Linked DNA regions of Xenopus tropicalis. The protein of the gene in region 2 purifies or fractionates together with the protein of the main gene of each other region. This does not show direct contact. Links are inferred from orthologs where the notes say so. Each region holds a gene or a part of one and is shown on either strand. Other genes may lie near its edges.

The links.
Region 1: the proteins of ing3 (region 2) and mrgbp purify together in Homo sapiens (co-immunoprecipitation; 4 studies listed by BioGRID and IntAct, counting the BioPlex papers as one, with this or other methods). This does not show direct contact. The link is inferred for Xenopus tropicalis from reciprocal best matches to the Homo sapiens genes ING3 and MRGBP.

The regions. Positions count from the first base shown.
Region 1 is NC_030686.2:2,537,929-2,542,543, forward strand, and holds the start of mrgbp (MRG/MORF4L binding protein), read right to left. Parts: upstream 2,874-4,615; 5' UTR 2,835-2,873; coding exon 2,696-2,834; intron 2,246-2,695; coding exon 2,124-2,245; intron 2,001-2,123; coding exon 1,919-2,000; intron 1,778-1,918; coding exon 1,703-1,777; intron 763-1,702; coding exon 578-762; 3' UTR 1-577.
Region 2 is NC_030679.2:69,348,006-69,351,821, reverse strand, and holds part of ing3 (inhibitor of growth protein 3), read right to left. Parts: intron 3,741-3,816; coding exon 3,621-3,740; intron 1,894-3,620; coding exon 1,736-1,893; intron 1,546-1,735; coding exon 1,358-1,545; intron 1-1,357. UniProt on the Homo sapiens protein: Component of the NuA4 histone acetyltransferase (HAT) complex which is involved in transcriptional activation of select genes principally by acetylation of nucleosomal histones H4 and H2A.

The DNA.
Region 1 (4,615 bases), on a different chromosome or scaffold from region 2:
GAGACCTCTGCTGCCCCCTGTAGGGTAAAATCCCGACATCCTTCGGCGGGAATCGATCCCCTGTCCGTCTGCTGAAAGTTCATTATAAATTCATTGAACTCCCTGAATCACTCGCAGGACAGCCCCCGAGACTCTATAGTGGGGAACAGCCAGAGCCCCCCATTCCCTGGAGGAACCTTCTGGGGGGGCCCCAGGCTGCTGACTGTGCCTAATTCATTATGAAAGAGCAAAGTGGAACGTTCCAAAGCTGATTTTTGGGGGGGGGGGGGTATAAAAAAGATGGTCAGCCCGTGGCTAATAGATTAGAGGGGTTGGGAAATGAATTGATTTATTCATCAGTAGATTAACGAGGGTTTGATTGGGCCACAGTCTGCCCAGCCCCCGCGGATGTAGATTCACTACCCCCCCCCCCCACATACCCCCTAAAAATATTTACATCCTTGAGATCTACAGTCTACTGGCTACTGCCCCAGAGCCGGGGCAGAATGTTCTGACTCTCACACAACCCATTAGTTCAGTTACACGCGGGCCGGTTCTGACCCCTTGGGAAGCCACACCCCTTCTCTCAGCCCCGCCCCTATGTGCGCCTGCGCTTGTTGGCGTTCGGGCTGGACGGGTTGCTGTTTGCGTTCTGCACTTTCTCGGTGAGCCGGCTCCGCTTGCGCTTGTCCCCCGATTCCTTGGAGCTGGATTCCGAGAGGGTCCGCTCTTTCCCGGGGGCTTTGTCCAGCCCTTTCCCAGAATTCCCAGAGTTGACAAAAGCTGCAGAGGAAGGAAATACCCATGAGTGAGGCATCTGGCAGGGCCTGTTGCCCCTTAAATCTACCCCTCCTCACGTATATACCCCACAGAAGCCCCCACCCAGGTTATGTTATCTGCCTGGGGCAACTGCTAAACTTGCTGCCCCCAGGTGGCTATACTGTTTGCCCCCTGCTAAATGCACTTATACAGGTACAGGAAGCTCCTCCCCTTGACAATGAGGATATCGATGACTGAAATGTTACTATGGCAACAGAGATGAAGTTCCGACCCCCTGAAGCCACCAAGAAACCACCCATTACCCACAATGCACTTGGAAGAATTGGTCAAGTCTCCCCTCCCCCTGCCGTGTTCCAATAGAGACAATGATAGAGGTGTATTTTTGGTTCCGGAAATGGGCTGAAACGGTTCTGGAAGACCCAAAACTTGCACCTTCGGGTGTTGTTCCCCTTTGAGTTAACGTTTAGTACGATGTAGAGAGGGATATTCTGAGACAGTTTGCAATTGGTCTTCATTTTTTATTATTTGTAGTTTTTTAGTTATTTAAGTTTGGAATTTTAGCAGCTAATTGGTTGCTGGGGTCCAAGTTACCTTAGCAACCAGGGAATGAGAGGCTGGTATATGAATAGGAGGAGGGGCTGAATAGAAAAAAAAGTTACAAAAACGTTACAATAAAACTGGAGCCTCACGGAGCAATAGGTTTCTGGCTGCCGGGGTCAGTGACCCCCATTTGAAAACTTGAAAGGAGGCAAATAATTCAAAAACTATAAAAAATAAATAAAGACCAATTGAAAAGTTGCTTAGAACTGATCATTGTGTAGCATGCTAAGAGTTAACTTAAAGGGGAACCGCCCCCTTAAGCGCTGCCCCTACAGACTCCTCAGGGGCCGAGGCTGGGAAGCTGAATAACAGATTGCAAGCTCCTCAGCCCAATATTTCCCACCTTCATCCGAGCCGCCGTGTATTTCCACTTCCTCCTTTACTTCCTCCTTTAGCTCCTCCTCCGACGTCACCTTCCCTGCAGAGAGGAGGAGGGGACACAGACCTTTAGGGCCCGGCTGTATGGGGGCCCCGGGGGGGGGCACAAGGTTAGTAATGGGGTACAGAGAGCATTAGGTCAGTACCCAGAGGGCAACTGGACCCAAAGGCTGACACTCACCCTCCTTCACCTCCTGAATCAGATCCTCCGGGAGAATGAAGTTCTTCTCCGAGTTTGGGAAGGGGAGAATCTCAGACTCGTGCTGCAACGGGAAAGTAACGGCAGGAGGTTAGGGGGGCGCAGGGGTGGAGCAAACAGCAGGGGGCGGGGCTACCTCACCTGGAAGTGTAAGGAAATGCCCCCCCCATTCCCCGGGGCCACCTACCAAGGCCTGCATATCGTACATGCTCCGCAGGTGCTCCCAGATGACTCGGGATGAGACCTGGCGCCCGATGTTCTGGCTGAACTTGTCCCGGATGCAGATCATGTGGAAGTGGCGGTTCACGCCTGCGAGGGGCAAAAAGAAGAGTCAGTTGTGCCCTGCGTCTGCCAAAGGGTTAATGAGTCCCGTAGTCACATGGTTATTAGGGTTCCCCCTAGTTCTGCCCAAATACCCCCCAAATAGAATGTATTTATACACAGGGGGCAAATCTGCAGCAAAAGCCCAGAGCAACCAATCAGCGATTCTCTTTCAGCCGCAGAGAACAATAGAAACAAAGATCCCATTGGTTGCTATAGGTTACTGCCCAGGACTTTACTTTTGCGGTGTAATTACACTCACTGGTACAATAACCCCAAAGTGCCCGATATAGTGCCCCTACCCCCCCAGGTACAGACACCCAGAGCCCCTCATCCCGCCCCGGGCCGCCATGTCCCGACGCCACCCGGACCGGAAGCCCCCCCTTCCCGGGTTCCCAGATTACGCGAGTCCGGGGATGGGCCGCGGCCTCCACTCACCGACCGGCTTGTGGCCGAGCATCGCATGGAACAGACACACCTCAACCTCCGGGCTCCACAGCACCGGCTCTTCCGCGGGGGGGGCAGGGGGAGGCTCGGGTTTTTCCACAGTAGTTTCCCCGGCCTCTAAATCCCCCATCTCTGCAGCCAATGGGGGGAAACTGCGGGGGACAGCGACTCCTAGCGGACACCATGGGTGTTGCACTGTAGCGCAATATCTATAGCAGCACAACAGGGGGCGTCTATTGGGCAGCAGCCTCTTCCGCTCATAACGGTATCCAGCAGCGGCACTGTGCCTAGTGCAATAGCGCCATCTAGTGCTCACCAGCAGTACTGCACTCAGCCAAACGACAGCGCAGCGAACGACTGATGTTACACATGAGCAGCGCCACCTAGTGTTCCCCAACCGCACTGCGCGCATCTGCAGCTTCCATAGCGACTCTCTGTGGCCAGCGGCAGCCAAACATGTTATTACTTTGAGCGCTATCAGGCTGGAACAGTAAGCGCTGCACTTACACAGCGGCACCCAGTGGGCACGTTTGGTAACTGCACCCAGCTGATATATTACCTTTAGTATTAAAGGAACAGTAACATTAATTAAAGTGTTTTAAAGTAATTAAAATATAATGTGCTGTTGCTCTGCAAAAAACTGGTGTTTTTGCTACAGAAAAGCTACTATATAAATAAGCAGCTGTGTAGCCCCGGGGGCAGCCATTCCTGCACCGGTACAGCTGGGGTGTTTGCTACAGAAACCCTACTATAGTTTATATAAATACCCCGCTGTGTAGCCCCGGGGGCAGCCGTTCAAGCTGGAAAAAAGGAGAAAAGGCACAGGTTACTAAGCAGATAACAGATAAACACCCACTATATGGGGCTTATCTACTAGTTAACTGCTATGTAACCTGTGCCTTTTCTCCTTTTTTCCAGCTTGAACGGCTGCCCCCGGGGCTACACAGCGGGGTATTTATATAAACTATAGTAGGGTTTCTGTAGCAAACACCCCAGCTGTACCAGTGCAGGAATGGCTGCCCCCGGGGCTACACAGCGGGGTATTTATATAAACTATAGTAGGGTTTCTGTAGCAAACACCCCAGCTGTACCAGTGCAGGAATGGCTGCCCCCGGGGCTACACAGCGGGGTATTTATATAAACTATAGTAGGGTTTCTGTAGCAAACACCCCAGCTGTACCAGTGCAGGAATGGCTGCCCCCGGGGCTACACAGCGGGGTATTTATATAAACTATAGTAGGGTTTCTGTAGCAAACACCCCAGCTGTACCAGTGCAGGAATGGCTGCCCCCGGGGCTACACAGCGGGGTATTTATATAAACTATAGTAGGGTTTCTGTAGCAAACACCCCAGCTGTACCAGTGCAGGAACGGCTGCCCCCGGGGCTACACAGCGGGGTATTTATATAAACTATAGTAGGGTTTCTGTAGCAAACACCCCAGCTGTACCAGTGCAGGAACGGCTGCCCCCGGGGCTACACAGCGGGGTATTTATATAAACTATAGTAGGGTTTCTGTAGCAAACACCCCAGCTGTACCAGTGTAGGAATGGCTGCCCCCGGGGCTACACAGCGGGGTATTTATATAAACTATAGTAGGGTTTCTGTAGCAAACACCCCAGCTGTACCAGTGCAGGAATGGCTGCCCCCGGGGCTACACAGCGGGGTATTTATATAAACTATAGTAGGGTTTCTGTAGCAAACACCCCAGCTGTACCAGTGCAGGAATGGCTGCCCCCGGGGCTACACAGCGGGGTATTTATATAAACTATAGTAGGGTTTCTGTAGCAAACACCCCAGCTGTACCAGTGCAGGAATGGCTGCCCCCGGGGCTACACAGCGGGGTATTTATATAAACTATAGTAGGGTTTCTGTAGCAAACACCCCAGCTGTACCAGTGCAGGGCAACAGTAC
Region 2 (3,816 bases):
CACCATTTACATAGCAAATAATTAATTCTACAATTTTATTCTTGAACCAACAAATTATTTTTTTTTGTAGGCAGCCATCTCAGCGCATTGTATCTGAGCTTTCAGAAAGAGCCAGTGCTACACATTAGAAATGCTTTCAGGTAACCTATTGTTTCTCAAACTCCCAAGTAAAGGTCACCAAGGGAGCCGATCTTCACCTGATATCCCCACCTACATGTAAGCTAATTGGACCATTTGGCCCTGGGGTGCTATTCTGATATCTACTGGGAGCTGCTATCTTGCTACCTTCCCATTGTCCTGCTGATCGGCTGCTGGGGGGGTGATGTGATATCACTCCAACCTGCAGCGCAGCAGTTAAATGACAGACCACAGGTCACATGGCTGTGGAACCCTGGGAAATTAGGAACATGGCTAGCCTCAAGTGAAGTTTCAAAAGTATAAAAAAAATCTTGCGTGCGTTTCTGAAAAACAGGTTTCAATGCAGGATTCTGCTGGAGAAGATCTATTAACTAATGTGGTTTGAAAGAAAAAAATGTTTTCCCGTGACAGTATTCCTTTAAAATATACCAAAGATTTTTTTTGTTTTTTATCACATAATTTATGTTTGACTTAAATGGTGCTCTGTCTGTGGGATTCCATGCTTCTCAATGTAAACAAGAAGTAAGCCTCCACACTTTCCAATCACTGCTAAAAACAGCAGTTAACTAGGATCTACATCTGGAATTTATCCAAGCTACTTCTGCACCCACTAATAGTAAAATGAAGTCCATCAATACCAGTGGAGAGAAGGGTTATGCAAATATAAAATTACAGAACAATTAACTAAGAAGTGTGAAGTGAAATGCAATAGCTAATACACTACATGAATGCATTTAAAGGAACAGTAACACCAAAAAATGAATGTGTATAAAAATAATTAATATATTATGTACTGTTGGCCTGCACTGGTAAAAGTTGTGTGTTTGCTTCATAAACACTACTATAGTTATATAAATACCCTGCTGTGTAGCCATGGGGGCAGCCATTTAAATTGAAAAAAGGAGAAAAGGCACAGGTTACATAAGAAGATAACAGATAAACTGAGTAGAATACAATGAGAATCTATGCTACTTATCTGTTATCTGCTTAGTAACCTGTGCCTTTTCTCCTTTTTTCAATTTAAATGGCTGCCCCCATGGCTACACAGCAGGGTATTTATATAAACTGTAGTAGTGTTTATGAAGCAAACAAACAACTTTTACCAGTGCAGAGCAACAGTACATAATATATTAATTATTTTTATACACTTTAATTTTTTGGTGTTACTGTTCCTTTAAATGAGCTTTCCTCCATCAAAATTCAAGGCAAATTAACTTACTTGCTTTTTCTACCACTTCTTGAATCTGTTGTTGCAGATGATGTTAATGTCTGGGTTAACGTTGATGCTAGTGCTGAGGATGAATAAGTAGCAGAATCTCTAGACAAAGAGATTCCAAGCTGAAAGTCATTGTTTTTAAAGGCTTCATAACTGGCTTTAAGGCTGGAGGTTCTTCTTCCTTCTTTCATCTAAGAACACATTAATTGGAAACACTGATTACATGTATACTAACATGCAGTGTTTGCACAATCAAATAAATGGCATTACATAGCACACAAGCAATCAACGTGCATCAATCAGAAGATTCAGAAGCTCTCCGGCGTGGAATTTCAGCTGTTATCTTCTAAAATAATTGACACTACAATATGCAATACTTACCTGTGCAGTTGCCTGAACTGCTTGAGCTGCTGCCATGGTAATTGCACCTGCTCCAGCCCCAGTTGAAAGGGAACTTATATTATATGAGGTCAATGGCTGGGAAGCATTAACATTGTAGACATTGTTGGTAGAAGATGAAGACAGATTATTTCTACAACCTAGAAGAATGAAAAATATATTAAAACCGAAAAATTATTACTTTGAAAATAAAGTTCTTAAAAATGTTACACACATTAAATGATGTAATATGCAAAAGCTTTACTTAGGCACTGCAAAAAAGGAATGGAGTAAAAACCAACACTAAGGGGCTGATTTACTAACCCACGAATCCGACCCGAATTGGAAAAGTTCCGACTTGAAAACGAATATTTTGCGACTTTTTCGTATGTTTTGCGATTTTTTCGGATTCTGTACGAATTTTTCGGATCCAATACGATTTTTGCGTAAAAACGCGAGTTGCGCATTTTTCGCGTAAGTTTTAACGCTACGCAAAATGCACAACTTTTTACGCAACTTTCGTAATGGATAGGAAAACTCGCGTTTTTACGCAAAAATCGTATTGGATCCGAAAAATTCGTAAAGAATCCGAAAAAATCGCAAAGTACCGATCATTACGAAAAAAACGCAATCGGACTCCATTCGACCCGTTCGTGGGTAAGTAAATCAGCCCCTAAATCTGGGTCCTTTCAACAGGGGGCTGTTACAGTGGCTTGCATAAATATTCAACCTCCCCTAACATTTTTTTTGTGTTACAACCTGGCACTAAACATCTTGTTAAAACAAGAGTTTTAAGAGTTTCAAGATGAAAATACTGCAAAAGAACTTTCATCTGCTAAAAATTGTGGGAGAAAGCGAATCTTTGAGCAGGACAATGGATCCAATCACAAAGACTGAGTAATATTGAAGTGGCTAAAGAACAAAAAAAAAAAAAAGAGTCCTTTAGTGGCCCAGTCAAAGCTCTGATTTTAAAAGGGTGGCTCATCTTTAAATTCATTTTTAATATGATGTAGACATTCGTATTTTAAAACTATTTGCAAATAGTTTTAATTTTTGGTGATTTTGCAGTTATTTAGCTTTTCGTTTAACAGAGGAATTTCAGCAGTTATTTGGTCGCTATGACCCTATGTACCTTAGCAACCAGGCAGTGGTTTAAATGAGAAATGAAAGGCTGGAAGATGAATAGGAGATGTCCCTATTAGACAGAAAGGTAATTAAAAGTAAAAACAATAAAATTGTAACCTCATAGAACAACAGTTTTTAGATGCTATGGTCAGTGTACCCCATCTCCATCTGATAACTAAAAAAATGCAGAAGATGACAAAAATTAAAAAAAAAAAAAAAAAAAAATTGAGGTTGTAACAAAACATAATGTGAAAAGACCAAGGGCGTTAAATACTTATCCGTGTTACTGTAAATGTAGATGCTTATCAGGGGAATGTAAGGTGCATATTTAACTATACTCTCTAGAGGTTTCTGGTGGGAAAAATGATTGTTACTTGTAATGTAGCTATTTTAGCATAATATGGGATAGTATGAAATATAGCAGGAAGTTATTTTTGCAAACAGATACATTCTCTAATAGAACTAAGGACTCCACACTCTTGCTTGTAATGCAGCATTAACAAATTCATATAACAGTACAGGTATCGGACCCCTTCTCTGGAAACCCATTATCTATAAATTTTCCGAATTATGAAAAGGCCATCTCCCATAGACTCCATTTTAATCAAATAATTTACATTTTTATAAATTATTTCCTTTTTCTCTGTAATAATAAAACAGTACCATGTACTTGATCCCAACTAAGATACAATTAATTCTTATTGGAAGCAATAATAATGGATAATGGGTCCCATACCTGTACTACATTGTGAATGAATTATACCTGCTGTGTTCTCTTTGGAAGCATCTGAAGTTAGAGTTGACAGCAATGCTTCAGATTTAAACTTTTTCTCCGATACATGGTCCGTTGTTGAATGATGAGATGATGGATTGTGCTTCCGCTCTGCAAAAAAAAAAAAATCCACAGGCTAAATAAATATTTCTTACCCAGCATTATTCATTTGGTGGAGAAAGGCCCA